Linked DNA regions of Mus musculus. The protein of the gene in region 1 purifies or fractionates together with the protein of each later gene. This does not show direct contact. Links are inferred from orthologs where the notes say so. Each region holds a gene or a part of one and is shown on either strand. Other genes may lie near its edges.

Region 1 (8,212 bases):
GTGACACTAGTAACCCTCTAAAGAATTTGTTTCTCTGGCTCTCCCTTGGCACATCATGCCCCCGAACAGTTAAATGATAATGTTATTTAGCCCCTCTGTCCGAGTCCCAAATATATATCAAATCTCTTAGCACCTCTCTGTTTCTCCTGAGCTGGTCTTTCTCATGGTTGGCCCCCCTCTTTCTCTGTTTTCCCAAATCTTGCTGCTTCCGGGAGCTGAAGATATCTATGACATTCACATGCATGCATTCCTTTGTGTGCCCTCAGCACCTTGCCTCCTTGTGTAACAGCGGAGTGTCAATAAAATACTGGTGGATGAGTCAATTGTTGGTGAAAGCAGCCTCCTTTTTGCCTTGCCGTTGCTCACTTTGGTTCGCTGTCCTCAGAGTTATGCATTTATATAGTTTCCAAAACACTGCAAAGGGCTGTCCTGGAAGCTTTATGGAGAAACAAAAGGACACAGTACTGTGTCCCCTCTTGAACAGAGAGTTGCATAGATAGTTGTAAGGGAAATGTTGGCAGAGCAGCACTCTGTCTCTTTCCTGGTTTTACACTGCTCATCAGCACCAGAGACAGAGACAGACAGACAGGCAGGCAGGCAGACAGACAGACAGACAGACAGACAGACACACACACACACACACACACACACACACACACACACACGAGAGAGAGAGAGAGAGAGAGAGAGAGAGAGAGAGACAGAGAGACAGAGACTTACTATCTTACTAAGTATCTCTGACTACCCTGGAATTTGCTAGGCCAGGCTAGCTTTGAACTCACAAGAGATCCACATGCCTCTGCCTCTTGAGTACTGGAATTAAAGACGTGCACCACCACGCCTGGCTTGACATTATGTTTGGGTATTGGCTCTCATTATGTATCTGATGATAAAGGTCGTTGTATCCCCAGAGCCTAGATAGCACTTGGCACACACTTGGCAGTTGAGGAATACTTTGGAATAAAAAGATGCTGGGGTGGGGAAGGAGGAAGTTGGGGTGGTGGTGGTAGGGGGTGAGGGGGTGGGACACTGCTGGTCTCTGACCCCCATTCCTTTATCAGTTCTCTTCACTGCTCATTTCACCCTGAACTTGAATCAATGAGGTAATTCATAGTCTTATATGACTTTTCTGTAGAGAGACATTAAAAAAAAAACTATAAGCCAGGTGTGGTGGCGCATGCCTTTAATCCCAGCACTTGGGAGGCAGAGGCAGGTGGATTTCTGAGTTCAAGGCCAGCCTGGTCTACAGAGTGAATTCCAGGACAGCCAGGGCTACACAGAGAAGCCCTGTCTCAGGAAAAAAAAAAAAAAATCTATGCCAAATAAGGCAGTCATGAAACACCAAAGATATCTCACCACCCAAGTCTCACTTGGCAGACCAAAGAGCTCGCTGGAGTTATTGGCAGTATGGTGGGTGATAGGTTACTTATAGGAGTGAGACTGGAGTAGCTTCCCATCAGAAAGTCGCCCACCAGCGTGACTTGTATGCAGACCAAAGAGTCCTGCCACCAGGAGCTGTTTATTGGTGACACAATCTGGGAGAAGTGTTCCGTGTCTTGCAACTTTTTTTCTGAATTTCCTGAGCCTTCTCCACTCTCATCAGGAGGAAATGTTTCGGGGGAAATAGCTATACAAAAGCAAGGAGATTTTTGAAGAGGAGGGACACATGTGATAGGAAATTGGGGTGCTTACACCCTGGTGTTTCCCTGCTAGCTGTATTGCCTTGGCCACCTTGTTTTATTTCTCTATTTTCATATGTTTACAGGAAGAGTGGAGCGGGGCATGGGTCTGCATTCAAATCCTCCAGCAGGAGAATTGAGAGCTTGAGGCCAGTCTATATAACTGCTCAAACTCAGTAACAGAGAAAGGAAGAAAAAAATGGCAAGACAGATGAGGGGCACTCACCTTGCTGTGGCCCCAGTGGCCCAGGTTTTAAGCATTGTTAAAATCACAGCCAGCTGTTAAGACAATCCCTTCCTGCCCTGGCTACCTTAACGAGGACTGTCAGCATGGCCATTTTGAATCTTCTATAAAGTCTTTGAGGAAACCACACAGCTAATGGCTCAGCCAGGATTGTTTCTGTCCTCTCTCTCCTCCCCCAGTGGAGGGTGGAACTTCCCATAGTCCAGTAGCAGGAAGATGTGTTATCACTGATGCCAAAGGGACAATATTATGATTGGTGCAAACACAAGTCTTCATTTGCACGAGTTTGCTGTTTGCTGTGTTTGGTGCAAACACCCTTTGCTGGCTGTAAAGCAGAAAGTTTGGCTCACTTGGGTCAGCTGGGACAAACCTTACTATGCTACCCTCCACAATGTCACATTAGGTCCAGTAACAGGAAGACAGTGGCTAAGAGCCCGCCAACTAGGTCACTAGGAGAGTTCCTGGAAACGCTTCAAAGCTAAAGGCCCAGGTACCGCACTTTCTGGAGCTACAGTTCGTAATAAGTTACCAGGGCCGAGGAATTCCCACTCCTCTCTGATTTATACAAAACCCGCCGGCCTGCTGCTTAGGGCTGCCAAATGCGGAGGGATCAAAAGCTACCAAGCCCCAGCCCAGAGAGCTTATGCGTTGAGCAGGACACAGCCAGCTGGTTGGCAACACTGATACTTAGTGTTACTTTGTATTAATATTAAGTGTCCTTAATAGGGAAAGCCCGAGCTTGTGTTTATGTAGCAAGGCAACAGGACAACACTTCTGCTATATGTAACATCTCAAAGGGAATACCACATGGGGGGAGGGGGATGTCCAGGCTGAATAATGGAACTGAGATTATTCTGCTGCTCTAGTTAGCAAGAATTATGGAAAGGTGCATAACCTCAAACCCCACCATTTATTTAGCACCTAGACAGAATGTAAGCCTCCATCTTTCGATATAATTTTGGGTAAATCCTGCCTATTCTCTGCACGACTGTAATGGGCGTGGTCACGTGTCCCCCTCCCCTCCAGCAGAGGCCCGAGTTAGCCGCTCTCGGGTCACCTTGACTACGAGGCTAAGGACCCCGTGAGAAACGCTTCTCATTCGATCGCGGAGTCCTCCATGCCCACAGAGAGGTGCCCAGGGAGAAGCCTGGCGTGGCAAACAAAACTAAAGTAGAGCCGACCGTCGGAGGGTGTTGCATAAGCGTAGAAGAACAAAATGGAGAGCTCTGCGGGGGAAGACGTGAGTTTCCTGTCGCGCTCTTGCTACTGGCGACCGGAGGAGGCGTCGTCTGAAGCTTCATTTCAAGTGGGCGTTCTGCAAAGCCAGCCGCGGAGCGCGCGCGGCGAAAGCCTGCTTCCGGCTCCTTGCGCGTGCGCCCTGGCGGCCGGGAAGGCGGGAGGCCGGGGCGAGCCTGGAACCGGAAGTGAAGGCAGCTTCCCGCCTCCGTCCCCGTTGCTGCCGCCATACACGCTCGCAGTGCTTAGGTAAGCTTTGGCCCTGTGCACCATCCACCGCCATCTGCTTCTCCCGCGGCTCGCCCCGCCGCGCGGGTCCCTGATACCCGGTGCCGGGCCGGCGCCGTGGCCGCCGGCGCGCAGGCGGGCGTCCAGTTCTGTTGTCTTCACCCCTTTCTGAGAGCAGATCTTGGCGGGGAGCTGGGAGACAAGGGGGGAACGATCCAAAATGGTGGCCTCGGCCGCCATTGTGTCTCCGCGCTTCCTGGGTGTTCCAGTGGGTCCTCTGCCCACCCGGGGCCGCGGCGGCCGGAGGCGGCGCCAGGAGGAGGGCGGGGCCCCTCGCATCTCCCCTCCGGGCCTTTTCTTGCTCGCCCAGGGATGGGAAGATCTCGCTCCGGGGCCCGTCCAGCCCTTTGACCCCGCTTTCGCTGCCTTATTTGGAGCTCTCTGTGAATGGCTGCCTCTGTGCGTGGCCGATGGTGTCGCGCACTTCTGGGGAAGCTTTTCCGAGAGCACTGCAAGGCGTTCCTTTCTAAGGCCACCCGGCTCACACTCTTAATCCTGCATCGTTCTCAGCTGTGACCTTAATTCCTTAGTGCGACTTTTAAAATTAACTTTGGCAGCGCTGAGCCGAACCTTGCGGCCTCTCGCGTTACTAAGCAAGCACTGCCATTGAACTGCACACACCCATCTTTTTCAAAACAAAAAAATTTTTTTTTTCTTGAAATGGAGCCATTCATACACTTCCCACCCTCCGCCCCGCACCACCCTCCTTCCTGCTTCTGTTCCCCGGTCCAGGTGTGCGCCGCTGGGACGGCCACTCGGGGGTTTCTGAGCAAGAGAATAGCGGCAGCCACATGATGTTTGCATTTGGGAAGTGAGCGCTCTGCGCAGTGCTGACCCTTATCTATCACCCTTGACTGATGGCTGACGTTGGGGATCACCACCGTGAGGTGGCAGGAGAAAGCGCAGTCTCTGTCTTCCCTTGTCCTTTGTGTCTCAACCCTCGTGTGAGTCGTTAGTCACGCTCATTTTACTGCGGTCTCCCAGTTGGCTCCTGCCTGTCGAAGTGTGTGTTACAAAGTCTGGTTAGCGGTGGAGCCCACTCTGTCTCTCCCGTCTGGTGTTCCCGTTTCTTATGTCATGAGTCTCTTTGTTAACTCTTCTTTCGGGACAAAGGTTTCACAGTTTAGGGAAGAATAGGACGGGTGTAGGGATCGACGAGAAGTGACGAGTCCATTCGTGACTGATGAGTTTTTCCGGTTTTTTTGTTGTCCCCTCTCCCAGCTCTTCTGTCGGAAACTGGTGTCTTTCCCCTTGCTGTTCTTCAACCCCTCTCTTTGGCCCTTGCTTCCTCACCTGCTCTGGGACACCTAACTCAAGAGACCTCCCTTCTCCCCCTGCCGGCCCAATTATGGCAGAGAACGATGTGGACAATGAGCTCTTGGACTACGAAGACGACGAGGTGGAGACAGCCGCTGGGGCAGATGGGACCGAGGCTCCCGCCAAGAAAGACGTCAAGGGCTCCTACGTCTCCATCCACAGCTCCGGCTTCCGAGATTTTCTACTCAAGCCAGAGCTGCTCCGGGCCATCGTTGACTGTGGCTTTGAGCATCCATCAGAGGGTACATTTTATTGTTGGGTGTAGAGACCTTATTTAGCACCTCTGGTGCAAGAAAAGGGAGGTTCAAGTCTAGGGTCATAGGATTTGAATTTATTTGGGATAGGCCAAGCTCTGAGAATGTACCCAAGACGGCAGCTGTAGAAGAGGCTTTTGTTCTCCGTTAAACAGAGGGCTGCCATTTGTTCTGTGCCTGGCTTTTTTGCTTGGTTTTTGTCTTTCTGACTGTTCGGACTCCCAGAGAGGGCCTGGTTGGACCTTTAGTTCCCTTCTTTTGGGCCAGGCCAAGTGTCGTTTCCGGAAACCTTAACGATCAGGATGCTGGCTTCTGTGGCTTCTGGGTCAGGTACCAAGTCCTTCATTTTGTTCAAGGTTGCAGGGTTACATGACCCAAAAGCACAGCAACCTATGTAGGAGAAATGGCCTGTGGCAGTCGAATTCATAGATTGTTGCGGTGTAAGAAAAGTAAGTTTAGCCAGGAACGTGGAAGGTGAGCTGTTGGTAGCTTCACGAGGGTTCTTTCTTAGCGGAACTGGGGAGCTGGGGTAGGAGGGTTTGACTTGAGTGTAAGAGTGATGAGGGTCAGGGAAAGGATGGGGTCTGAAAGGTGACAAGGTGACATATGATGAGTCGGCTGGGGAGAAAGGGGTTTGGCACGGTGCAAAAATGTCTCTCCTTTCTCCTCCTAGTCCAGCATGAGTGCATCCCGCAGGCCATTCTGGGGATGGATGTCCTGTGCCAGGCCAAGTCAGGCATGGGAAAAACAGCAGTGTTTGTCCTGGCCACACTGCAGCAGCTGGAGCCCGTTACTGGGCAGGTATGTTGGGGGCAGTGCTGGAGAGGGTGTGGAGATTGAATCACCAGGAGGCCGTTTCTGGCTCCATGTGTTCTCAGCTGGTGTCCTCTGCAGTTCAAGGGGAATGTTCGCCAACATCACTGACAAGTTGCTGGATGCTCTTGTGACGAGGGGCTGACTTTACTGTGTCTGTCTCCATTTGCTCCCTCAAAGGTGTCTGTGCTGGTGATGTGTCACACTAGGGAGCTGGCTTTTCAGATCAGCAAGGAATATGAGCGCTTCTCTAAGTACATGCCGAATGTCAAGGTAAGGGGGGAAAGAAACCTGGGACAGGAGGCTGTGGGGAGACAGGCACTGGGAGGGAGGTTGGCTGTCCTCGGGCATCCCTGTGCTGTCAGTGGTGTGGTCACATGAGAGACTTCAGTTAGTGCCACACCCTTCTGTGGCTGCCCTTCCAGGTTCCATACTGTGAATACACCTGTGTGTTCCTGAGAGTTCGTAGCTTTAGGTGATACCACCGCAACACTTTGTGGTTAGTTGGTTTTGGTATTGCAGATTCCATTCCAGAGCCTTGAGCTACTATGTGTGGGACTGAGCCACCCCTGGGTCCTTTGTTTTTATGTTCACGACTGTCTCTTAACCACCACGTTGTCCTGGTAGGCCTTGAACTCACCTTAGTCTAGAGATAGGAGGCCTTGAACCTGAGGCTCCTGCCACAGGTTCCTGAGTAGTTGGGGCAGGCCTTTGCCACCTGGCTTGGCCAGAGCCTCTGTTCTGTTCTCCTGAATTGCTTGGTAGATTGTTTGAGAGTTGGGTTGTATGTGGCAAGAGGAAGCTAGATGCTCTTAAAACAGCCCTGGTGTGGACTTTAACTCTAGAGTGGTTAAAGCTTTCCGGGGGTCATAACAAGTGGCCTGTGTCCTCTGTGAAGGAACGTGGTGTGGCCTCACAGTTGGCATCCTTTGGAACTTTTGAGATTATATATTTCCATGCTTGGGTGAGTGGCCTGCTGGGTTTGAAAGGCCTTGTAAGCTGGCCCTGTGAGTAGAGAGATGTGTGCAGACTTCCTATTCTGGTTAGGGTGGGGAAAGAGCAGCTTGGATCAGTCTGGGCTGACCTTTGAGTCAAATCCACCTTCCTCTGCCTCTACTGGGATTAAAGGCGAGCATCTCCACAACCGCCCAGCATGACAGATTTAAAAGGGGGAATTCTAGAAGAAGAAAAGGAAAGGCAGTATGTGCAAAATGCTAAAGGAGGCCAGAGATCTTGTGATCTCTGAGGTTTCCATTGCTCGGCATAACCAAGCATTAGACATTGTTTTCCTAACCTGTCTGTGTGCAAGCTTACTGGCCTCTGAAACATTTTAGCGTATTTATATATCTTTTTCCTAGGATTTTGAAAATAGTTTGTAATCTGGAGGCATTGTCTATGTCTGTGTGCCTGTGCCTCTGGCTGTATGTCATTATACCTTGCCAAAAAACTAATAGACTTTCAGTTCCTTGGCTGACCGGTCCCTTGTGGTGGATTTAATAGTTGGGAACTGAAGCTGGATCAGTGGCTCATTCCTGTATTCCCATGGCCTGGGAGGTTGAGGTGGGCGTTTGCTGGAGTTGAAGGCTGCCCGGGGCTAAGGTCTCAAAACAAAGAGGGAGGGTGGCAAAGCTGCAGTCCTTCTCTGCAGGACCCACAGCACCCTTGTGCTACTCAAAATGCTCTGAGAGTTGGGATCAAGTCTGAGGTTGGGTTTGGTGTAGGAGCCTGCAGATTAGCTGGTTAGGTCCCCCCCCCCATCATAAAATCAGAATCATCTGTACTTCTCCTTGGCTGTGCAGCACAGTGTCCTCTAGGGGGCTGTCTAGTCCCTCCCTTAGTTTTAGCTCGCTTTTCCCTCAGTATTTGTAACTATGTCTGAAAGCTTAACTGATACCAGTAAACCATCGTGAACAGGAGTGGAGTGCTCCTGTGTGCATGTGTTAGCCATTGTGGTTCAGGATTGAGAAGAGGAAGAGGTTTACTGTAGAGTAAGCGTCCTGGTTATTTCTTTCCCCTTGAAATTGGACAAGTCCACGTGTCACAGCTCACACATCCAGCACTCACCTGGTGTCACAGCTCACACACTCACCTAGTGGGTTGCACATGGTGTGACTTTTATCTCAGGCACCGAGGAAGCAAAGGCTCCAGGCCAGGGAGACTGTCTGACAGTTCAGTTAGGAAAGCTTGCTTGTGGTTTGATCGTTGGGTGGCGCCTCACACTTGCTGGTGGCTTCTTGCTTTCTTCATCTGTGTAAGGAAGCTGTGACTTTGGAGTCACACGTGCCTCGTTGTGTAGATCAGCTAGGGCTGTGCAGAGCGATCCTGTCGTGGAGTTTGAGTGGAGGCGGAGAAGCTGAGTGTTCATCCCTTCCTCCATCCCC
Region 2 (7,737 bases), on another chromosome or scaffold:
GATATCTGTACCAGTTCCATCTTGATGGCCTTGCTTCACTTCTGCTGTAATGCTTGCTGCTGTGAGGGAAACCTCGCCTCTTCCCACTTGGAGGCACTTTCCGTGATACACAGGAGTGCTTACTGTAGTTGTTAAATTTGTGTTGTAGAAAACTTGTACATGTATTTACCCAAGTCTAATTTTTGTCTTAGAACGGTTGCTAACAATAATGGTTAATAGCTTAGTAAACGGTTTAAAATGTATAGATCGCATGGGCTGGAGAGATGCTCACCAGTTAGCATCACTTGCTCTCCAGAGGACTTGAATTCATTTCCCAGCCCCTGTGTGTTGGCTTGTTCACAAAGTACCTGCAATTCCAGGTGCACCTAATGCTTCAGGCCCTTGCGGGCTGTATTCATGTGTACATCACCATACACAGAATCAAAAATAAAATATTTAGAGCATTAGTTTTATGCACAAACTGTTGTGAAGGTTTAGATAAACAGGAAAACGCCATAGTTCTAGTCAGAAATGAACTAGCTAAGTAGTCTCCTTGCATGTTTTCCCCTAGTTGATGAAACTTGTGTTTTATGTGCACAGAAGACTAATGTAGTCCACTGAGTTTTGGGGTTTGTTTTGTTTTGTTTTATGCTTATTTAGGAGGAAAAATTGGCCTGGAACTTTACATTTGTAGAACAGACATCCTTTCTAGGGATAGTTGAAGCAGCCATTAGTACAGTGTTTTCCATTTCTGAAATAAGTTCTCACATGCTTTGACTTTCCTTAATGTGAACAGTCTGCAGTTGGACTTTTACTTCAAATTTTTAGCAATTTTCATTTTTTTTTAACTTATTGTAGCTCACAAAAATTTCTTGATATTTTCTGAACCTTTCATGGACTAATCTTCATGTGATTTATAATTTGGTGGCTAGAGCCTAGTCTAAGAACCATTCTATTGTCTGATGTTACTCAGTGGCAGATTACTGTTCTAGCCTAATCCCCAGTACGACACCACCACCCTTCGCACACACACACACACACACACACACATTCTGTTCTAACCCTTAAAAGGAGTGGCTACCATTGGGGAAAGTCCTATCCTGCTTAGTATGTATTTCTTTAGTCAGCTCTTAGAAGAATCATGGATTGAGGAATGTGTCACTGTGTATAAATGAATTCCTGATGGAAACTGTTGTTTTTTGTGCTGTACCTTTTGTCTGTGGAATATAACAGGACATGTATCAGGTAATTGCCCCACACAGGTCTTACCCTTACCTGCCTGTCTATAACATCTCTGTCAGTCTATAAGTAGGACTCTATCTAGCTTTGTCTTTGTAATGGTAAAAGCAATGGGCAATTTAAAGATGTCTTTTCTTTAAATTATTTGGTGTGTTTAATTCATGGCCATTATCACAGTGTTCTTTGTAGATTTAATTATAATAGATTGTTAGAGGCTAGGTGTTTTGGTATTATTAGAGCTTGGTATTGGGGAGGGCTAGGAAATAAATCAGTAGTTTGAAACAAATGTGAGCATTTGTGCCACCAATGTGAGAATGTTACTAAATCAGCTGCCGAATTCAGCTGAAATGTCTTTTATTAGTGAAAGTCCCCATGTAGTGATTTTTTTTTAACTGAAATGTCTTTTATTAGTGAAAGTCCCCATGTAGTGATTTTTTAAAACCTGTGTACTGCTACTGGTGGCTCACAAATCTTAATTTGTTAATTTCTTTATTAAAGATGTGCATGGGAAGGGCTTGGTGTTTTGTGTGTGAATCTAAGCTGTACTTTAGTAAAATGTACTGAAATGGGGAGAAGGACATGCAGCCTTGGGGTCATTTGTTTCTTTTAACAGAAGAGCTACATTTATGTAAGCCTCTCCCATCAACACAGAAAGGAGGCTCATATTTTAATTCACGCAATGGGGAAATTGAAGTTTCTTTTTTATTTTTTTTCCCCGTTTCAGGAGGCAAAACTAACAGATCAGTTGCCACTTATCATTGTCTGTGATCGGTTTGACTTTGTCCATGACCTGGTGCTGTATTTATATAGAAACAATCTTCAGAAGTATATAGAGATATATGTCCAGAAGGTAAGTACTTTGGTTTTTAGATAATTTAAATATTATCACTACAGCATTTTGAGTTCTTCTCATTGTGCCTGGTAAGAATGGTCTGCTAGAGTAGCTTTCCATGGTTTTCCTCAGCTCAGTCTTTTCTTTTATTACAATTTTACATCCATGCCAGAATGTGAAGTGTGAGAGAGAGCTACTGTAGTCTAAAGGGTTGGAAAGTCTAGGAACCAAAGCCCAAAGCACATGGCTTAAATTAGGTACTAGAGACTTACCAACTTCAGGATACTCTAGTGATGCTTTTGTGCTTAGTAATCTTCCATAGTCATCTTTGCTGTTGTTATTTTTATACTTCAGCATTTGGAGCGATCCTTAGGTAGAACTGATTAACCATAGCAGCTAACCATAGACCACAGGGTGAGTGCTCCCTGCTTATTAGAATGTGAGGTCTTTCTAGCTAGACTTTTCCATCATCTGACCATAATTTTAGATTCATAGTTTATTGCTAATTTTTCTTTAAAACAAGGCTTTAAAAAGAAGTGGTCTTTAAAGTTTTTCATTCAGTTTTGCTTATTAATGTAATTCTTTTTATTTTCTCTTTTTCAAACATAGGTAAATCCAAGTCGACTTCCTGTGGTTATTGGAGGATTGCTGGATGTTGACTGCTCTGAAGATGTCATTAAAAATTTGATTCTTGTTGTGAGAGGTCAATTCTCTACTGATGAGCTTGTTGCTGAAGTCGAGAAAAGAAACAGGTGTAGCACTGTTTTCTCTCCTTATAACACACAAGTTTGTCACTCCTGGTAGTGTAGAAGAGTTGAAATACGGCTGACTGACTTGAGTGTGGCTTCTCAGCACATGGGGTAAATCATGGAGGCAGCTGACAGAAGGGTGACACACTTGCTCTTAGAGTTGAAAGGTTTTTGTTTCTGTCATTTTCTCCTGAAATGTGATTGTATTTGTATAGTTAGGAGAAGACTGTGCTGTTTTTAACACAGTATGTCTGGGCTCTGTTGTTCTTACTAGATTGAAGCTGCTTCTTCCTTGGCTTGAGGCCAGAATTCATGAGGGCTGTGAGGAGCCTGCTACTCACAATGCACTTGCCAAAATATACATTGACAGTAACAACAACCCAGAGAGATTTCTTCGTGAAAACCCTTATTATGACAGTCGTGTTGTTGGGAAGTACTGTGAGAAGAGAGACCCCCATCTGGCTTGTGTTGCTTATGAACGTGGCCAGTGTGACCTGGAGCTCATCAATGTGAGTACTGAGTGTGCTGAGTGTGTGCAGAGATACCTGTAGTTCTCTAACTAGTTGTATTTCCAGTTAGCAAATTTTGAGATTCTATATGATTTTTTTTAGTTAATGTGCAACAGTTGTGGGCAGATGTGTGCTTTTTAAAACTTTATTTGGAAATAGTAGTAAACCTAAGTCTATATACACTCTCTCCTGAATTGACATGTATTAGCTTTGCTTGGGTTCTTGTACACGGCCTGCCACACAAAGCATTTTAACTAGGTTACATACCTCATGGATTTGCATCCATTCCGGTTCTACTTTGTAAGAATGAAGAAGTATCTTTATGTGGGTACTAGCAACAGTCAGACATTAGCAAGATACTTTAAAAAGCTTGTTTTCAGTTTTGTCAGGGTTTTCTGTAGTTTAGGATCACAATTGTGTCCACTCTTTAGCCTCTTTATTCTAAATTAGTTCTTAGAAATTTGTTTTTGTTTGTTTATTTTGTTTTTAAATGATTGATACCTTTGGTAAACTAATTTTTTATTTGTATTTTGTTAGTTTTTTTGTTTTTTTGTTTTTTGTTTTGGTTTGTTTGTTTTGGTGAAATAGGTGCATAACCAAATTTTCCATTGTAAAGTGAACATCTAAGTGGCTTTCAGTGAGTTCAGTGTTGCAAAATCACCACTCTTATCCAGGCGCTCAGCACTGAGCAAGGATACCTTCTTTTTCAGTAAATCTCCATACACTCCCTTCCCATAGAACCTCACAACTGCTTAACCACACCCAGCCCCAATGGATTTCCCTGTTCTGTAATTTTTTAATTAAAGTATTTATTACTTGTGCACAAGTATGTAGAAGTCAGAGGATAACTTGTAGGAATCCATTATCTCCTCAGTAGATATGGGTCTAATGAACTGATCTCTGGTCATCAGCCTTGGTGACAAGTGACCTTACCTACGAAGCCATTTTGCTGGCTCCTGAACATTTGATGTAAATGTATGATCTCCATTTCCTCCTTTTCTGCAGTGTTGAGACTGCATGTGCTGGGAGAGTACTGTATAAGTGAGCTCCCTGCCTGGCCACAGGAAAACAGTCCTCAGTTTCCCTCTGTCACTTTGCTTTGTAGCTAGAATCAAGCGTTTCAATAAGGGTTTTCTATAATTAGGTTTTCAGGTCTAATTTCTACTCAGAGCGCTGTTTAAATGGTATTTGCCCCGTGCTGTTGGATTTAGAAGCTTATTTTCTTTCTTTATGTCGCCAGCCTCCACTGAATTGTCCACCTTCCCTTCAGGAGTCCTCATAAACAGATGGTGCACATGTTCTTCCTCCTTGTCTATCCTTGGCCTTTGTAACATAAGGCATTCTTACTAGGCTGATGACTACTTCATCCCTTTCTCCTTTTATCAGTTATGGGTTAGAGCTCAAGGGTAGAAAACTGGGCCACCATGAGTGAGGTCCTGCTTACAAATCCCAGTGCTGAAAACAAATTCTGTCATATTTATTAGTCAGTATTCTTGGATTCATAGATTCCTGTTGTGCTCTTTGAATTACAATCCATTACTGTAATTTCTGTTGGCATGCAAATTGTTGCCTGATTGCTTTGAGGCACTTCAAGGCTCATTGTGCAACTTTCCTAGCTTAGAGTTGCTCTTTTTTTTCAGGCAACCCCCAACCTTTTAATGAAAGATGCCATTAGTAACCAAGTTCTATCTTGAAGGTTCCTTCTAGAATTGTTCAGTGGTCAGACCTTAGAAACTTATGTATGTATGTATGTATGTATGTATGTATGTATGTATGTATGTATGTACTTTCAAAGATTATGCATATTTACATGCAGATATATGGAGAAGTAAGTGTGCACTAGCTAATAAAACACTGGAAGAAAGTTTTGAAGGCGACCAGATCTGTATTGGATTGTAATACAAAGCTATAATTTAAGGTTAATACAAAACTAATGCTTTAACATCAAAAATAAGCTAAATATGCTAGTGTGTGTCTGTATTTCTAGCATGTGAGAAGTAAAGGCAGGTAGGTATAGGACTTTAGAGCTCAGGTACGTGAGACCACAATCTCAAACAAGAAAAATAAAGATGCAGTAGTGGGGGTCTTTTTAAAAGTGCCTAAATTTTCCCCCATCCTTTAGTTTCAGTGAGAATATTTGTGATATTCCCAAGATTCTATATAGAATAGATTTTTTTTTAAAAGAGTTGATATGATTACAAATAACTTTCAGACTCGTCTGTAGTTTTTACTATTTGCACTGAAATTAACCTTTGCTATTTTAATTAGGTTTGCAATGAGAATTCCCTCTTCAAAAGCCTTTCTCGCTACTTAGTCCGTCGAAAGGATCCAGAATTGTGGGGTAGTGTGCTACTGGAAAGCAATCCATACAGAAGACCGTTAATTGACCAGGTAAGAATCACAAAAATGTTTCCAATCATTCTTACTTGGAATACTTTCCTATCATATATCCAAATATATTTAAATGGGTCATATTTAACTATAACAGAAGGCAGAAAAAGTGAAAAAAAAACATTAAAATTGTACTATATAAATGTAAAATCATGTATATGTGTAAAATATTATAAGGAAAGTGAAGTCTAAAAACATAAAATTATCTTAAGTTCATCACCACTAAAGAAAGGGAATAAATTAGGATTGACTAAAAGTAGTTACCTGACACATGACCAAAATCAAGACATTTACAAAGGTACATCAGCACACAATGAGGATTGATAATTCAAAAACAAAAAAATCCAAGTAATTTTGGGGTATGACAGCTTATGCCTGAAGTCCCTAGTACTTAGGAGTTTGAGAGAGGAAGAATATGAGTTTGAGTTCACCTTGTCCTATGACTGTAGCAAGATTCTATCTCAAATTCTTTTCTAAAAGTCCAAGTAAGCATCATGGAGATTGTTAAGTTCTGGTCCCTAGCATCACATAAAAGCCCCTGTATGTAACTGCAGTGCTGGGTAGACAGAGACGGGAAGATCTCTCGGGCTGTCAGCTGTCCAACCAGATGAATGAGCTCCAGCTGCAGGGAGAGGCTTGTCTCAGAAGTAAAGTAGCACGTGACTGGGCAGGACACCTGGATCACCTTTGGATACATGCACCTGTACATTCATGCACACAAACACAGGAATAGCACACTCGATACCCAAATCAGTAGTAAGTCTTAACTAAATAGCACAGCACTGGAGTGAAGATTTTTATACCTATATGAAATTGAAATCTTGAATTTAAAGTGCTAATTGTTGCTTGTTGTTAAAATGATTCTTAAATTCTTCTGATAGACAAAAAGATAGAGCATTTTGAGGCATAGATTACTAGCTCTTGAGTTATTCACTCACTCTCTAGAAAGTGGTTCCAAGGCACATTCCCAAGTAGATACAAAGCTCCCTGCAATCACATGGCATCTGAGCACATGAAAGTAGACAAAACAAGAGCTGTTCAATTTCTTATCTGTGCCTAGGGATTTGAAAATAAGAATCCATTAAAGAAATAGTGATACGTTATTATGGATAGTGTTTTAACAGGGGAAAGTGAAAATTGCATAATCACTAATGGTAACATCATATATAAACGTGTTCATGTATATTTGTGTACAAAGATCTTTGAGTAGAAGGGTATTTTTCCTTCTATTTGAGGTTTTCTAATGAAAAGCTAACTAACTTGTTCTTACCAGGCAATATCTTTTTAAAAATACCTTTTTTTTTTTTAAACTATTCCATGTATATCCTTTGTAGGTTGTACAGACAGCCTTGTCTGAAACTCAGGACCCAGAAGAAGTGTCAGTAACTGTGAAGGCTTTTATGACAGCAGATCTTCCTAATGAGCTCATTGAACTGCTGGAGAAAATCGTTCTTGATAACTCCGTATTCAGTGAGCACAGGTATGCTATGCTGCCAGGGGCTTGCATTGGCTTCCTCAGCCTCTCTTTGTGGCCTGTTGGTTTGGGGAAGGAAGAGAAAACAAAGAGAACAGATAGTTTTCTGGATTGTTCTCCTAATACACGCTCTTCTCACCCTGACCCTTGAGACAAATAACCCTCTAGTGTCACAGTGGTGTTTCCTCACCATTGATGACTCTTTGATGACATTGTGCTTGAATGTCTTGGTTTCTTAAGGAATCTGCAAAATCTCCTCATCCTCACTGCAATTAAGGCTGACCGAACACGTGTTATGGAGTATATTAACCGCCTGGATAATTATGATGCTCCAGATATTGCCAACATTGCCATCAGCAATGAGCTGTTTGAAGAGGCATTTGCTATTTTCCGGAAGTTTGATGTCAATACTTCAGCAGTGCAGGTAAATCTTGAAATTACATGAATTGAGATATTGACAATAATGTCTTCTCTTGATGCAAAGAATGCGTTTTCTTGTGAGAGTATGCACAGATTGCTATCACAGTAGAGTAATCATAAAATGCTATCCGTTTAAATGTAACT
Region 3 (7,221 bases), about 10 Mb from region 1:
CCTGCTGGGTGGAATAAAATAAAAATTAAAAAAGACTGCTTTTTCTGTTAAAGTTGTTCCTCACCCCAATGAGGAGATTGTAGTTAAGGGGTGTGAGTACCAGGGGTTGCTTGAGGTTCTTTTTTATGTATTGTTAACTTAGTCTGGATTTTTACCATATTGCCAGGTGTTCTGTTCAGAGTCAGTGAGCTATGCACTGAACATGCCAATGTTCAAGAGTTTGACTTTTGGGCATCTGTTCTGGAAAACCCATCTTTTAGGTTTTTTTCTGTCATTTTTGTCTTGGCCATTGTAGCTTAAATGTCCTTTTTTAAAGAAAATGGCTGCTCTTGTCTCTTTGGGTTGGATACTTTCCCAGACTAAAGAAGTTTGAGCTGGATATTAAAATGTGTGTCTATAATGGTCCTTAGTAGTAATTCTTTCATTCTTAGATGCCTGAGGAAGTGCACCATGGAGAGGAGGAGGTGGAGACCTTTGCCTTTCAGGCAGAAATTGCCCAGCTCATGTCCCTCATCATCAACACTTTCTATTCAAACAAGGAGATTTTCCTCCGCGAGTTGATCTCTAATGCTTCAGATGTGAGTATTCTGTTGTTGAATTTCTAAGGCTTCACGGAAGTGTGTGTGTGTGTGGGAGTGATTGAGAAGAACAGTTCAGTTGATGTTGAAGGGGGAGGGACTGTTTGGAAAAATAAAATAATCTGGCTTTTTGCGTTTACTACAGGCCCTGGACAAGATTCGATATGAGAGCCTGACGGACCCTTCTAAGTTGGACAGTGGGAAAGAGCTGAAAATTGACATCATCCCCAACCCTCAGGAGCGCACGCTGACTTTGGTGGACACAGGCATTGGCATGACCAAGGCTGACCTCATTAATAACCTGGGAACCATTGCTAAGTCTGGCACGAAGGCGTTCATGGAGGCTCTCCAGGTGTGTGGCCTTTCATCCACACCGTCCTCTAATTTGTTACTGCTTAAGTTAAAATTTGTCTGTCTAGGGTATTACATATTAGGACACTTATTAGAAAAAAAGTACAAGTGGTTGGTCAGGACAGCTTTGACCCCTAGATCTCTGGACATTGAACTGATTGTTACCTTGCGCAGCAGATGGTTATACTTGGCCAAGAACCATGTTGCTGATCCTCTTTACTTCAAACCCTTTGCAGGCTGGTGCAGACATCTCCATGATCGGGCAGTTTGGTGTCGGATTCTACTCGGCCTATCTAGTTGCAGAGAAAGTGGTTGTGATCACGAAGCACAATGATGATGAGCAGTATGCCTGGGAGTCGTCTGCGGGTGGCTCCTTCACCGTCCGGGCAGACCATGGTGAGGCAGCAGGCTACATTGTGGGGAAACCTTAGACGTTGTATTCTATAAAAGTACATTTTAAGGGGTGGTGAGTGCCAGCACTTGGGTGAGTTCTTAAGGCAAGCAAAGGGGCTACACAGGAATCTTAGCTTGCTTGAGAAACCAGGAACGAAAAAAGCGTAGTTCGTTCTTGTATTTTAGTTTCAGTTTTTCATGTCTTGATTTGTTCTCTGTAGGTGAGCCCATTGGCCGGGGTACCAAAGTGATCCTTCACCTCAAAGAAGACCAGACAGAGTACTTGGAGGAGAGGAGGGTCAAGGAAGTGGTGAAGAAACATTCGCAGTTCATAGGCTATCCCATCACCCTCTATGTGAGTATGGGCTTGGCAGTGTTGGAGCAGGCTAATGGCACTGGGCCTTGCTGGTGCTACATTCTCCACAATTAATTACATGTGTCATTGGTGATTTAGTTGGAGAAGGAACGGGAGAAGGAGATCAGTGATGATGAGGCAGAGGAAGAGAAAGGTGAGAAAGAGGAGGAAGATAAGGAGGATGAGGAGAAGCCTAAGATTGAAGATGTGGGATCCGATGAGGAAGATGACAGCGGCAAAGACAAGAAAAAGAAAACAAAGAAGATCAAAGAGAAGTACATTGACCAGGAGGAGCTGAACAAGACAAAGCCTATCTGGACCAGAAACCCGGATGACATCACGCAGGAGGAGTATGGCGAATTCTATAAGAGCCTCACCAATGACTGGGAGGACCACTTGGCAGTCAAGGTGAGAAGCCTTCCTCTGTTGTGTAAGGCAGGGTAGGTAGGCAGAAGCTGGAGGTGGTAAGGAATAACTGGCTCGACTGGTTGGTAGCTGGGACCTGAAAGCCACAGAAAAGAACCATGTGACAACACTGGAGCTACTCAGAGCTAACAGTGGTTTCACATTCTCTTTCTGGTGGGAATCAGGGTGTCAGCCATATCTGACACTGGATTACTCTTCTCAATCACTCCCACTGTCATGGCCACCACCCTGATTACAGCCAGGGTTCTGCTTGGCGGGATAATTCTTGCTACCAGCATGCTGGGTTTATTTGTGATTAGGGCTGCTTTCCTATTCATAGGGTTCAGCAGTACAGCATTCACAGTGCTGTCAGATGTTTGATATTGGGGCTTGAAGCAGTCCTGTCCTAAAATGTATTATTGGGTTCATTTCAGCACTTCTCTGTAGAAGGTCAGTTGGAATTCAGGGCATTGCTCTTCATTCCCCGGCGGGCTCCCTTCGACCTTTTTGAGAACAAGAAGAAGAAGAACAACATCAAATTGTATGTCCGCCGTGTGTTCATCATGGACAGCTGTGACGAGCTGATACCTGAGTACCTCAACTTTATCCGCGGTGTGGTTGACTCCGAGGACCTGCCCCTGAACATCTCCCGGGAGATGCTGCAGCAGAGCAAGATCCTGAAGGTCATCCGCAAGAACATCGTCAAGAAGTGCCTGGAGCTCTTCTCCGAGCTGGCTGAGGACAAGGAGAACTACAAGAAGTTCTATGAGGCCTTCTCCAAAAATTTAAAGGTAAGACGGACAAGTGTTCTCCAAATAACTTTGTATTTAGGGTGTTTTTTCCAGCTCATATAATTGGATTTTTCTTTTAAAGCTTGGAATTCATGAAGATTCCACTAACCGACGCCGCCTCTCTGAGCTCCTTCGCTATCACACCTCTCAGTCTGGAGATGAGATGACCTCCTTGTCAGAGTATGTGTCTCGCATGAAGGAGACCCAGAAGTCCATCTACTATATCACTGGTATGTCGGAGATTGGGTCTGAGTAAAGCTGTCTTGTGGACTTGGGAAAGGGGGAAGTGGTGGTGTGGAGGCCATGTGGTGGCCATGTGGCCATTGTTGTATTAATCCTGTAGGTGAGAGCAAAGAGCAAGTGGCCAACTCTGCCTTTGTGGAGCGAGTGCGGAAGCGGGGCTTCGAGGTGGTGTATATGACTGAGCCTATTGACGAGTACTGCGTGCAGCAGCTCAAGGAGTTTGATGGGAAGAGCCTGGTCTCAGTGACTAAGGAGGGCCTGGAGCTACCAGAGGACGAGGAAGAGAAGAAGAAAATGGAGGAGAGCAAGGCAAAGTTTGAGAATCTCTGCAAGCTCATGAAGGAGATCTTGGACAAGAAGGTTGAAAAGGTGAGTCTCCCCTAGCTCCAAATATTTTAGTCTGCTGTACAGCTAGAAATGTCAGGCAGCACAGACCAGGCACACACAGACTAAACAGTAATTATTCCATCTAATGTATGTATGCAAGGAAAGGGCCTTCCTGTGTTGCCCAGGTTATCCTTGAATCCCTGTACTCAAGCAACCTTCAGTCTCCAGAGCATGTAAGGGGGTTAGTCCTCTGCCTGCCATCTTAGTAAGGTTCTTCATACATAGCAGTTCCATTATGGCCAAGGTACATCTTGTCATTGTTCTTGATTGTCCACAGGTGACAATCTCCAATAGGCTTGTGTCTTCACCCTGCTGCATTGTGACAAGCACCTATGGCTGGACAGCCAACATGGAACGGATCATGAAGGCCCAGGCACTGCGAGACAACTCTACAATGGGCTACATGATGGCCAAAAAACACCTGGAGATCAACCCTGACCACCCCATCGTGGAGACCCTGCGGCAGAAGGCTGAGGCAGACAAAAACGACAAAGCTGTCAAGGACCTGGTGGTGCTGCTGTTTGAAACTGCTCTGCTCTCCTCTGGTTTCTCACTTGAGGATCCCCAAACCCACTCCAACCGCATCTACCGCATGATTAAACTAGGCCTGGGTGAGTCTGGCTTGTGAGCTCCTGGTAGCAAGTTGTTGTACTAGCTGGACCTTTGGGCAGACTTAGTGCTTTGTGGCTTACTTAAATCTGTGTCTTTCTCTTAGGCATCGATGAAGATGAGGTCACTGCAGAGGAGCCCAGTGCTGCTGTTCCTGATGAGATCCCCCCTCTGGAAGGCGATGAGGATGCCTCGCGCATGGAAGAGGTGGATTAAAGCCTCCTGGAAGAAGCCCTGCCCTCTGTATAGTATCCCCGTGGCTCCCCCAGCAGCCCTGACCCACCTGGCTCTCTGCTCATGTCTACAAGAATCTTCTATCCTGTCCTGTGCCTTAAGGCAGGAAGATCCCCTCCCACAGAATAGCAGGGTTGGGTGTTATGTATTGTGGTTTTTTTGTTTGTTTTATTTTGTTCTAAAATTAAAAGTATGCAAAATAAAGAAGATGCAGTTTTATACAGTCCTGCTCTCCTTGTAACACTCAGGGCTTCCTGAGTGGTGTTGGAAGGTGATGAAAGGCAGTTACTTGTCCATCAACTATTAATGCCAACCAAAACACAGGTCCAAAGTCACTGCTGCAGTTTAATCAAATAAGAGCAAAAGGTGACATTTCCAAGTACCAAAACTTGGGTAGGAACACTGGGGCCCCAACTGGGCTGGGGGCCTTTGTCCCTTCTGGCACAGCACCATTCTCACTGGCCCCTAGGGGAACTGCATGACCTGTAAACAATTCTCTTCCCAGCTGGTGCCTGGTAGCCTCAAGGGTGCGTGCTATGAGCAAAGCCCTGGTGCTGGTTTGCTTGGCCACCAGCAAGATTTCAGAGATTGGGGGAGGAGCTCTGGGTCACCTCTAACCAAACACCCACAGCTGTCATTTCCATGAAGTGGGGGCTCTTAAGGCAAAAGAGGCTGCCTCCAGGGCTCCAATCCTCTGCTGTATGCTGATACTGAGCCAGTGCCTCAGAAGATGAGGGTCTTTACTGCACTGCTCACACCTTCTGTACTGGGGGCTCAGTGGGCACAGCCTTCTTTCCCCGCTGCTTCCGGCCCCGGGCATAGACTCTGAGTAGGAGGGCAGTGAAGACCACAGCTACTCCCAGTCCCCCCACCACAGTGACAGTATGGCCATAGAGGAGGCAGGAGAGGAGGATGGCAATAGCCTGGCGTAGAGTCATGATGATAGTGAAGACAGCAGCTCCAAATTGTCCAATGGTGTAGAAGATGAAGAGCTGCCCAAAGGCGGAGCAGATGGAGAGGAGGAGAGCATGGAGCGCAAACTCACTGTGCCGCCCCATGAAGCGTGCCCCCTCCAGTAGGGCCCCCTGTTCCAGTAGTGAGCCTACTGTGAAAAGACAGGAGAATAAATTGACCCCAAACATCATCTGCACCGATGACATCTTATAGGCAAACAGGGCATCCTGCCAATTTGAGGTGAAGCTGTCGAAAGCAATATAGCCTGCCAGTAGGACCAAGCCAGAGAGTGTGGTGGCTGGAGAGCTTCTAGGCTCTGGTCCACTGGATAGAAGAAACATGCTCACTCCAATGGAGATGAGGCCGGCAGTCAGGTATTCCCAGTGTTCATAGCTGCGCCGGGACACCAGCTTTCCCATCATCATGACAGGGATCACCTTGGAGGCCTTCGCCAGCACCTGGGTAGGGAAGCTGACGAACTTAAGTGCTTCATACTGGCACCAGCTGCTAAGCACATTTGACAGACTGGCAAAGGAGTACCGGTACATGGGTGCACCATGACGGGGCTGCTTGCGCAGGACACAGTAGAGGCCTGCCACAACCAGCGCCAGCACACGGTTCATCAGCACCAGAAACTGGGAGTCTGTGAAATGCTCTCCTGGTGATGTGGCTGTGGCCCCGTAGCTGCCAGTCATCACTCTTTCCTGCAGTATGCCCCAAGTCAGATAGGACACCTGGAAGAGGGAGGGCAGAGAAGAGCGACAGTATAGAAGGAAAGGCAGAAGTCTGTTTCCTACTTCCTCAGAGTTGGTAGCATCAGATGTAACTGACACCATACTTTTGGTTCCTCTGAGGGAGGGGCCTTCTTTCCCAAGCTTTAGCTCATTTTATGGGGGAATCAAATGGAGTTGCAGACACCATGACATCTGCTTTAAGACCAAACACTGTCCTCTTTCATGATGCAAATCCATTAGAGCTGGCTCCACATACCATATAAAGAGTTTTATTTAGTTTGAACTAACTCAAAAAGAAACTGGGATGTTTGGAAGCTGGGGGTGGGGGTGGCTGGACACTTCAATTCAACATATATCTAAGGTGAGTTGGCTCCCACTCTGAATGCCCTGTGATAGCCTCACTCAAAGAAATCCTACTGACAAAATTTTGGAGAAAGCCAAGCATGGTGGTACACGCTGTCACCCCAGCTATTTGGAAGGAAGAAGCAGGAGGGTTGAAAGTTCAAGGCTTGCATTGGGTGGTGGTGGCACATGCCTTTAACCCACTCTGTCCAGCACTCTGGAGGCAGAGGCGTTTGGATTTGAGGCCAGCCTGGTATTGAGAGCAAGTTTCAGGACAGCCAGAGCCACTCAGAGAAACTGTGTCTGGAAAAACAGCGAAGAAAAAAAAGAAAGTTCAAGGCCTGTCTGAGCCTGTGAAACTCTGTCAAAACAGTGTGGTGGGTCATCAATCCTAGCACTTGTAGAGCAGGGGGATCTCTAAGCTGGAGACCAACCTGGTCTATATAGTGAGTTCTGGAGTAATTAGGGCTGCAGAGTGAGACCTTGTCTCAAAATAATAATGTGGGAAGCAGCTCTGGAGATATGTTTAGCCAGCAATTCCTCAAATTCACACTCAGATACAACATACAGACAGAGCAGAATATGGGCATAGGGAAAAAAAATACAACTCAGGCAGGCCTTCTTCCACACTGTAGAAGCCATTGCATGGGTGCGCGCGCGCGCGCGTGGACGTGCGCATGAACACATGCGTGTGTACAGTGAACTTTCATTTCAATACAGGTGTTGAAGGAAGCGCTGGAAGTTCACTTTCAGGACTGGGCTGTGTCCTGTAGGGACACAAACCAGACCCAAACTAACAAACCTTTGGGGTGGGCAGGGAAAATTTGGTTTAAGTCAGGGGCTGT
Region 4 (7,737 bases), on another chromosome or scaffold:
TTTAAAGCTTTGTTACTACTTATGTGCCATTATGGGATCAGAACTTTGTTTGCATTTACTTTGGTTATCACTCTTCTGTTTCTTGTAGGTTGCCCAGATTTTGGGTTTATTCTGAGGCTGGCTTTCCTTTCATAGTGATCTGTGCTCGCCTCTCACTCTGTTTCCTGTAGGTAATCACCTAACTGGTTGATCTTAGAGTCATCCTAACTGAGCCTGCTCTGGAATATCGCATCCCAGCCAGTATGCAGGTCCTGCTCCTGTATCTGAGTTAGTGTGCATATCTTAACAGCCTATTGAGATATAGTTTATGTCCATAAAATTTACCTTGTGATGTTTAAAAGTAGATGTAAGGTTTCTAATCATTGCTTACTAAAAGATGATGTCCGGGTTTCAAGGTGATGGACTTTGCAGATGACCTGTTGCAGGTCAGATGATCCCTGGTCTGAAGGCGATGGACTTTGCAGATGACCAGTTGCAGGTCTTTCTCAGGATTGTGCCCAGCTTTCATCTCAGTAGCGCCAGGTTCGGAACACGTGCACTTTTGTTGCTAATAATTTTATCTTAAATTCTTTGTTTTAAACATGTAGGCACTAGTTCCTCAGCCAAACGGAGTACTTCGGCTGGTAATAAAGAGTCCAGTTCTACTAGAGAAAGATTACGTGAACGCACCCGGCTAAACCAGAGCAAAAAACTGCCCTCTGTAAGTCAGGGAGCTAATGATGTGGCACTGGCTAAACGTTCACGCAGCCGCACTGCTGCAGAGGGTGATATTCGTATGAGCAAGTCTAAGTCGGACAATCAGATCAGTGACAAAGCTGCTTTGGAAGCCAAGGTGAAAGATCTCCTCACACTGGCGAAAACCAAGGATGTGGAAATTTTACATTTGAGAAATGAACTCCGAGACATGCGTGCTCAGCTGGGCATTAGTGAGGACCATTGTGAAGGTGAGGACAGGTCTGAGGTGAAGGAAACTATTATTGCTCACCAGCCTACTGACGTGGAGTCTACTCTCCTGCAGCTGCAGGAGCAGAATACAGCCATCCGCGAGGAGCTCAACCAGCTGAAGAATGAAAACAGAATGCTAAAGGACAGGCTCAATGCTTTGGGCTTTTCCCTAGAGCAAAGGCTGGACAATTCTGAAAAACTATTTGGCTATCAGTCCCTGAGCCCAGAAATCACCCCTGGTAACCAGAGTGACGGAGGAGGAACTCTGACATCTTCGGTAGAAGGTTCTGCTCCTGGGTCGGTGGAAGATCTCCTGAGTCAGGATGAAAATACACTCATGGACCATCAGCACAGTAACTCCATGGACAACCTGGACAGTGAGTGCAGCGAGGTGTACCAGCCCCTCACTTCCAGCGATGATGCTCTGGACGCCCCCTCCTCTTCAGAGTCAGAGGGCGTGCCAAGCATTGAGCGCTCTCGGAAGGGGAGCAGTGGGAATGCCAGTGAGGTGTCCGTCGCTTGCCTGACAGAACGGATTCACCAGATGGAAGAGAACCAGCACAGCACCAGTGAGGAGCTTCAGGCCACTCTACAGGAGCTGGCTGATCTCCAGCAGATTACCCAGGAGCTCAACAGTGAGAACGAAAGGCTGGGAGAGGAGAAGGTCATTCTGATGGAGTCGCTGTGTCAGCAGAGTGATAAGTTGGAACACTTTGGCCGGCAGATTGAGTATTTCCGTTCCCTTCTTGATGAGCATCACATTTCCTATGTCATAGATGAAGACGTAAAGAGCGGGCGCTATATGGAACTAGAGCAGCGCTACATGGATTTGGCTGAGAATGCCCGTTTTGAGCGAGAGCAGCTTCTAGGTGTGCAGCAGCATTTAAGCAACACTTTGAAGATGGCAGAACAAGATAACAAAGAAGCTCAAGAAATGATAGGTGCCCTCAAAGAGCGCAGCCACCACATGGAGCGGATTATTGAGTCTGAGCAGAAGGGCAAAGCGGCCCTGGCAGCCACATTGGAGGAGTACAAAGCTACTGTGGCCAGTGACCAGATAGAGATGAATCGCTTGAAGGCCCAGCTGGAGAACGAAAAGCAGAAGGTGGCTGAGTTGTATTCTATCCATAACTCTGGAGACAAGTCCGATATCCAGGATCTCCTGGAGAGTGTCAGGCTGGACAAGGAAAAGGCGGAGACTTTGGCCAGTAGCCTGCAGGAAGATCTGGCTCATACCCGAAATGATGCCAATCGGTTACAGGACACCATTGCTAAGGTATTGCCCACGTAAACACGTTCTTGTTTAGTTTATACAGCTGCCATGTGGAGAACCTGAAGTGTGACGTTGCCTTTTAAAAAAACTCCTTCTCAAGTTTTAAAACGCACTACCTTACGTGAGTAAGACTTTCCTTACAGTACTGTCATTGTCAGCCGCTCCTCTTCTGTCATCTTCTTTTCAGAGGGGCTGGAGGGGCTGGGAACCATGCAGCCAGACTTCCTTCTGAGCAGTAGATAGCTTTACATCCTCGTCTCTAATGTACTGGGGCATAAGGCAGGTGCTGAGTCAGGATCTCAGTTTTCCAGGATTGGCAATGTCTGCTGCCTTTTGCCCTGGTGTAGTTTTTCAAATAGCATTTTATTGTGAGTTCATTCTACTTTTAGAGTAGAGTTGCTCCTGTTTCTTGGAGGTACAGGATTTATTGCTGGCAAAGAGCTTAGAGATGATTCTTCTAGTCCCTCATCTCACAGATGTTCAGTGTACTTACTAGTAAAGACTCAGTCAGAATGGCTGGCTAGGTTGCTAGTGTTGTTCTATATCCTGAGTGATTTTTGAAGTGAATGTTTTTGTACAAATTATCTATTTTTTCCACCCACCTTTTTAAAATGTGTATGTGTTAATTTATGGTACATGCGTGTGCACCCACAGAGGCACGGAGGATGTTGGATCCCTTGAAGCTGGAGTTGCAGGCTGTTGTTGAGACCCTTGATGTGGATGCTGGGAACTGAACTGGGCTTGTCCAGAAGAGCAGGGGTGCTCTTGACTGCTGAGTATTTCTCTGCCCGAGTGTGGGGAAGTTTTAAAGGGAAAGGTTTTATTACATCAGTTGTTAAACTTTGAATAACTTAACTTATTTTTTATGTATTTTAATGATCCCTTTTTAAAAAAACTTATTTCATGTTTGTTTCAGGTGGGGGAGGGAATATGAAAGCATGTGTATTGGGGGTGCATTAGTCAGGACAACTTGTGGGAGTTGGTTTCTCCTATCATGGGAAACTTCAAGGATAGGACTCAGCTCATTAATTTTGGCAGCCAACGTCTTTACCTCTGGAGCCATCTTGCCAGTCTGTTAGTGATCACTTTTAGAGATGTAATTCAGGAGATACATGTTGAGGGGCACTGTGAACTAGTACTTTGATAAAGACTACTTGAAATGAAAGTGTTCTGTTTGTATGTGCTTATTGTGTCTACGTGTGTGTGTACTATGAATCACGCGAGGAGATTGGAGGATGACTTGGAGGCTGTTCTCTCCTTCCTCCAGGAAGGTTCTGGGAATTGAACTCAGGCCCCCTGGCTTGGCAGCAAGCACCCTTCCCTGCTGAGCCATCTTGTTAGCCTTAAATGTTTTTCTGGTTTCATATTTGATTTCATTTTTTTTCTATTATAAATACTGCACTTTTATAAGTGAGGGTAGCATGCTAATCACTCATCAAATGCACAACTTAAGTCCAAATGTTGGAGAAGAGAAAACGTCCCCCAGGTGGCTCATAGATAACCTGGGGAAGTTCAGTGATGCATCAGTTGACTTTAGTCAGTGAGGCTTTGGGCTTGTGCTCAGACAAACCAAATGCAAACCTCGTGCAGTTGTAGTGCTGGTCCCCAGCGTGGCTAGGTTGTCAGTCAGTCTGTCCGTAGCTGCTCGCACCTCACTTCCATATCTAACGGTAAGTACTTTGGTTGTAGAGTTTATCCCCAAACAAGTCTCCTTTTAACTTCTTTAGGTAGAAGATGAATACCGAGCTTTCCAGGAAGAGGCCAAGAAGCAGATTGAAGATTTGAATATGACATTAGAAAAACTAAGATCAGAGTTGGAGGAAAAGGACACGGAGAGGAGTGACATGAAGGAAACCATCTTTGAACTTGAAGATGAGGTGGAGCAGCACCGCGCCGTGAAGCTGCATGACAACCTCATTATCTCTGATCTAGAGAGTAAGTAAGGCAGTGAGTGAGAGCGACCTCGTGCGCAGGCGCTCAGGCTTTGCCCACCCCACCTCTGCGTGCTGGTGCTCCGTGGTGAAAATAGCAGTTCTGACTAGCACACAGTATGGACACAGTAGCACGCTGACCTACCGAAAGACACTTTGACAGAGGTGTGCTTCACACCTTAGTGAGGAAACTCTGGGTCAACTATGTTGTGTTCTCAGATGTTCCATAGAAGCATTATTTGAACATTGTATCTAATTAATGAGAATCTCTGAAATGAAAAGGCTAACAGTCAGTTATTTTCCAGACCATAAGAAAAGCCATTAATTTATTTTTAGTGATTGCAAGTGAACAGAGTTGGAAAAAATAAAATAAAATAGGTTAATCTTGTAGCATACTGATCATGGAACACAGGTTTTTGTGTTTTTAAATTTATTTGATTTTTCTTATTATTCTGAGAATTTTGTGTCATGGTAGAATGAAACCTGCATTTTAAAGTTTCATTGTACATTGAATGAATTGATTTTTAAACTTTAAAATTTTTTTGTATTTGTAAGAAAGTTGAGCAATCAGATTTTTATATGAACCTAATCTATTTTCTCAAGAATTGTTTATTGATTACAGGACAGAAAAGAAACAGCAACTCCTTATGCAGTAGGGAAAGCTGAGCAGTGTTTGGGTTTTCATGTGGGTCATAGAGGCATGCGGTACTGGGCATAGCACAAGTGAGGGCTGCTCTGACTCAGGCACGTGCCAGCCACAGGGAAACAGACCGACAGCATGAGCATGCGCTGGTAGCAGAGGTGTGGAGGGGCTGCAGCCCTAAAGACATCAGTGTTGCAAAAGAGAAAGGCTATAGAAAGGTCCCAGATAAAAGAAGACTCAGGAGACAAGATAATTAGATGTAATGCCCATGTCTAGACAGGCCCATTACTACAGGGGAAAATGATATAAAGGCATTAATCAAACACCGAGTTGTGGCTAAGAGATTAAAGATATGCTAATAATACATTTAGGAAGTTGATAATTACACTATGTTTACATAAAATATCACTGTTCTTAGAAACCACACACTGAGTTTTTCAGGTGAAGGGCTGTGATTACTATACCCCCAAGGAGTTCTGGGAAGAAATTAGGCTGATGGGTAGATATAGAAACGAGCTATGACAGCTGATAGGACAAGTGAGTTGTATTCCTGCTGCCTTTTGTGCGATGCTGGAGATGAAGCTCAGGACCTTGTCCATGTAAATTTCACATTCTTACCACTGAACTACATCCTCACTTTTATATGCCTTTATATTACAGACCTAGAGATAGATTGATTGGAGTAGGCATGTCTGATGCATTAAAGTTTTTCAGACAATGGGTGTATGCAACACTCCTTCCGACACTCTCAGTTCATCATTTCTTGACAAAGCAATTATCATATTGGGCCTATCACTAGGCTGATGGGGACATTGAAGATACTTGAAGAAGAGCAGGTCAGGTGCGGGAAATGTTCAGGATAGAACTTGGGAATTCTAAGTTCTGGTTAGCTGATTGTGAATCTGGATTGACCAAGGTTTTGTTGAACATTCTGGGGCCCCTATTAAAATAGTCAGTGGTGGGACTGAATTTTTTTTTAAAGAAGATGGTGTTGTTGTGACTGCCATGAAATTTCTCATCCACAACTTAATCCTTCAGGGTGGTCTTAGTGTCTCATCTGTGGTCCAATGCTTAATTGACAGAGTTCTAAGCTGTCTTCAGCCGCTATAATAAGGTCTTGTTTCAGAGTCAAAAACCAAACAATAAGAACTTTCAGCACTTATATTTAGAGTTTTAAAAAATATATAACATTTTAAATTTTTACACACACACACACACACACACACACACACACACACACACACACACACATCTGTATGTGGACTAGATGTTCAAGAAGCCCAGAGGAGGGTGTCAGAGCCCCTGGGAGCTGGAGATTAGGTGGTTGTGAGCAGTCTGACATGGGTGCTGGGGACCAAGCTAGGTTCTTCTGGAAGAACAGCAAGCAATCTGAACTGCGGAGCCATCTCTCTGACCCTGGATTTAGTATACATTTTTTATTTGTGAGAATTTATTTAATTCTGCTTTTTTATTATACATTTTAAAGTATTTATTAGCACATATTAATTTTGCATGACAGTGTTTCGCTTAGACACTTTGATATGCAGGTATATTTTGACCATGATCACATTACCCTGTTGTCTACCTCCTGCTTCTCCCTTCCTCTTCTCAGCTAGTGTGTGCACTTGTGAGTTCTGCTAGGGTTACTTACAGGAATGTGGGTGGATTTTTTTTTTTTTAATTTGGGCTATTTATAGGCATATAGTTGAGTCACCTGTAGTTATCCTACTGATGAGAACACCTCTTCCCCCAACCAGTAGTACTTTATAAAGCTTCAAAGAGGGGCGGGGTAATTTTTCTTCTTGCCTGTAAGAAGTGTTTAAGTTTTCCAGACAATTCCAGAGTGACTTTGGAAGCTCCTTGTACTGTCCGTTGGGTACACTGGTACTGCCCTGTTTCCCATGCAGTTAGTCCTTGTGGTTTTGCTCATGGGCAGGAGTGACATCTTGTGGTAACTGGAGCATTAGCTAGGAAGATGTTAAATGATGAAGATCTTGGGGACAGAACATCACAAGTCATTCATTTTTCACATATGGATTTTAACTAGAAAATGACAAAAAACCAAGAGTAATTAAAAAAATTTATATAGCTTCTTTTACAATTTTTTAAGATGAAAAGTTCAAATGTACATTAGTATTAGAAGAATAATTATTACCTAGTGCTATTGTCTTTGTATGTATATGTTGAACTACTTAATACTAACCCTATGATGTTTAATTCTTAAATATTTAAATGTGATTCCTAAAAGAAGATTTTACTGAGCACTTCTAGCAAAATTATTCTTAGTTTTCTAGTATCAACTAATAGTTCATAATTAGATTTCTCTAGCTGTCATCAAAATGTTTCTTTATAGCACTGTTTACTCCCAGGTTTTAGTAACTCCTTTTTTATAGTCCTTCAGACTGATCCAGGACCTCATGCTAAGCAAGCTTTCTCCTAGCCTTAGATATTCATCTATTTGGGTTTTTATTTATCTTAGACCAGCTTTAAACTCATGACCCTTGTGCCTCTTAGTTTCTACAGTTATAAGATAATAAGTGTATACTATACCTCTCTCTCTTAAATAATAACCAGTGTCTAAACAAATTTTATACTTTATGTTAGATCTCTAGTGTTATATTGCAGTTACTTTTTCTCTGGAATTTGATGGCAGTTAATTTTTTTTTCTAGAAAATTCTCACATTTGGAGTTAACCCAGCAAATGATACATGAATTTTTGTTGTTTGAGAAAGCAAGATTTCTTCTGTGGAATATTTTAACAAGCTTAGAACCTCCTAGTCAGCTCCCAAAAAGGCCTTATAATTTCAATAGTAGTCGCTCCTCAGTCACCCCAAGATAAATTCCTGACCTTGGAATTGGTATGTAGGACTTTACAACCACTCCTGAGCTCAAGTATGTGGAGGAGAAGACAGATTGAAGGGACAAGTGGGAAACTGCAGAGAAAT

Evidence for each region.
Region 2: the proteins of Ddx39b (region 1) and Cltc purify together in Homo sapiens (affinity purification with mass spectrometry, with the first as the bait; 3 studies listed by BioGRID). This does not show direct contact. The link is inferred for Mus musculus from reciprocal best matches to the Homo sapiens genes DDX39B and CLTC.
Region 3: the proteins of Ddx39b (region 1) and Hsp90ab1 purify together in Homo sapiens (affinity purification with mass spectrometry, with the first as the bait; 3 studies listed by BioGRID). This does not show direct contact. The link is inferred for Mus musculus from reciprocal best matches to the Homo sapiens genes DDX39B and HSP90AB1.
Region 4: the proteins of Ddx39b (region 1) and Specc1l purify together in Homo sapiens (affinity purification with mass spectrometry, with the first as the bait; 3 studies listed by BioGRID). This does not show direct contact. The link is inferred for Mus musculus from reciprocal best matches to the Homo sapiens genes DDX39B and SPECC1L.

What each region holds. Positions count from the first base shown.
Region 1 is NC_000083.6:35,238,445-35,246,656, forward strand, and holds the start of Ddx39b (spliceosome RNA helicase Ddx39b), read left to right. Parts: upstream 1-3,301; 5' UTR 3,302-3,408; intron 3,409-4,233; exon of another isoform or gene 4,234-4,310; intron 4,311-4,372; exon of another isoform or gene 4,373-4,391; intron 4,392-4,668; 5' UTR 4,669-4,795; coding exon 4,796-5,006; intron 5,007-5,630; exon of another isoform or gene 5,631-5,691; coding exon 5,692-5,819; intron 5,820-6,011; coding exon 6,012-6,104; intron 6,105-8,212. UniProt on the Homo sapiens protein: Involved in nuclear export of spliced and unspliced mRNA. Component of the TREX complex which is thought to couple mRNA transcription, processing and nuclear export, and specifically associates with spliced mRNA and not with unspliced pre-mRNA.
Region 2 is NC_000077.6:86,706,912-86,714,648, reverse strand, and holds part of Cltc (clathrin heavy chain 1), read left to right. Parts: intron 1-1,942; coding exon 1,943-2,068; intron 2,069-2,659; coding exon 2,660-2,802; intron 2,803-3,073; coding exon 3,074-3,308; intron 3,309-5,576; coding exon 5,577-5,699; intron 5,700-7,033; coding exon 7,034-7,179; intron 7,180-7,413; coding exon 7,414-7,597; intron 7,598-7,737. UniProt on the Homo sapiens protein: Clathrin is the major protein of the polyhedral coat of coated pits and vesicles. Two different adapter protein complexes link the clathrin lattice either to the plasma membrane or to the trans-Golgi network.
Region 3 is NC_000083.6:45,565,122-45,572,342, reverse strand, and holds the end of Hsp90ab1 (heat shock protein HSP 90-beta), read left to right. Parts: intron 1-431; coding exon 432-578; intron 579-723; coding exon 724-930; intron 931-1,165; coding exon 1,166-1,325; intron 1,326-1,543; coding exon 1,544-1,677; intron 1,678-1,776; coding exon 1,777-2,085; intron 2,086-2,516; coding exon 2,517-2,873; intron 2,874-2,955; coding exon 2,956-3,103; intron 3,104-3,216; coding exon 3,217-3,485; intron 3,486-3,780; coding exon 3,781-4,114; intron 4,115-4,218; coding exon 4,219-4,328; 3' UTR 4,329-4,565; downstream 4,566-7,221. Other genes in the region: Slc35b2 (adenosine 3'-phospho 5'-phosphosulfate transporter 1 precursor), read right to left, coding at 5,099-6,034. UniProt on the Homo sapiens protein: Molecular chaperone that promotes the maturation, structural maintenance and proper regulation of specific target proteins involved for instance in cell cycle control and signal transduction. Undergoes a functional cycle linked to its ATPase activity.
Region 4 is NC_000076.6:75,244,492-75,252,228, forward strand, and holds part of Specc1l (cytospin-A), read left to right. Parts: intron 1-587; coding exon 588-2,221; intron 2,222-3,945; coding exon 3,946-4,153; intron 4,154-7,737. UniProt on the Homo sapiens protein: Involved in cytokinesis and spindle organization. May play a role in actin cytoskeleton organization and microtubule stabilization and hence required for proper cell adhesion and migration.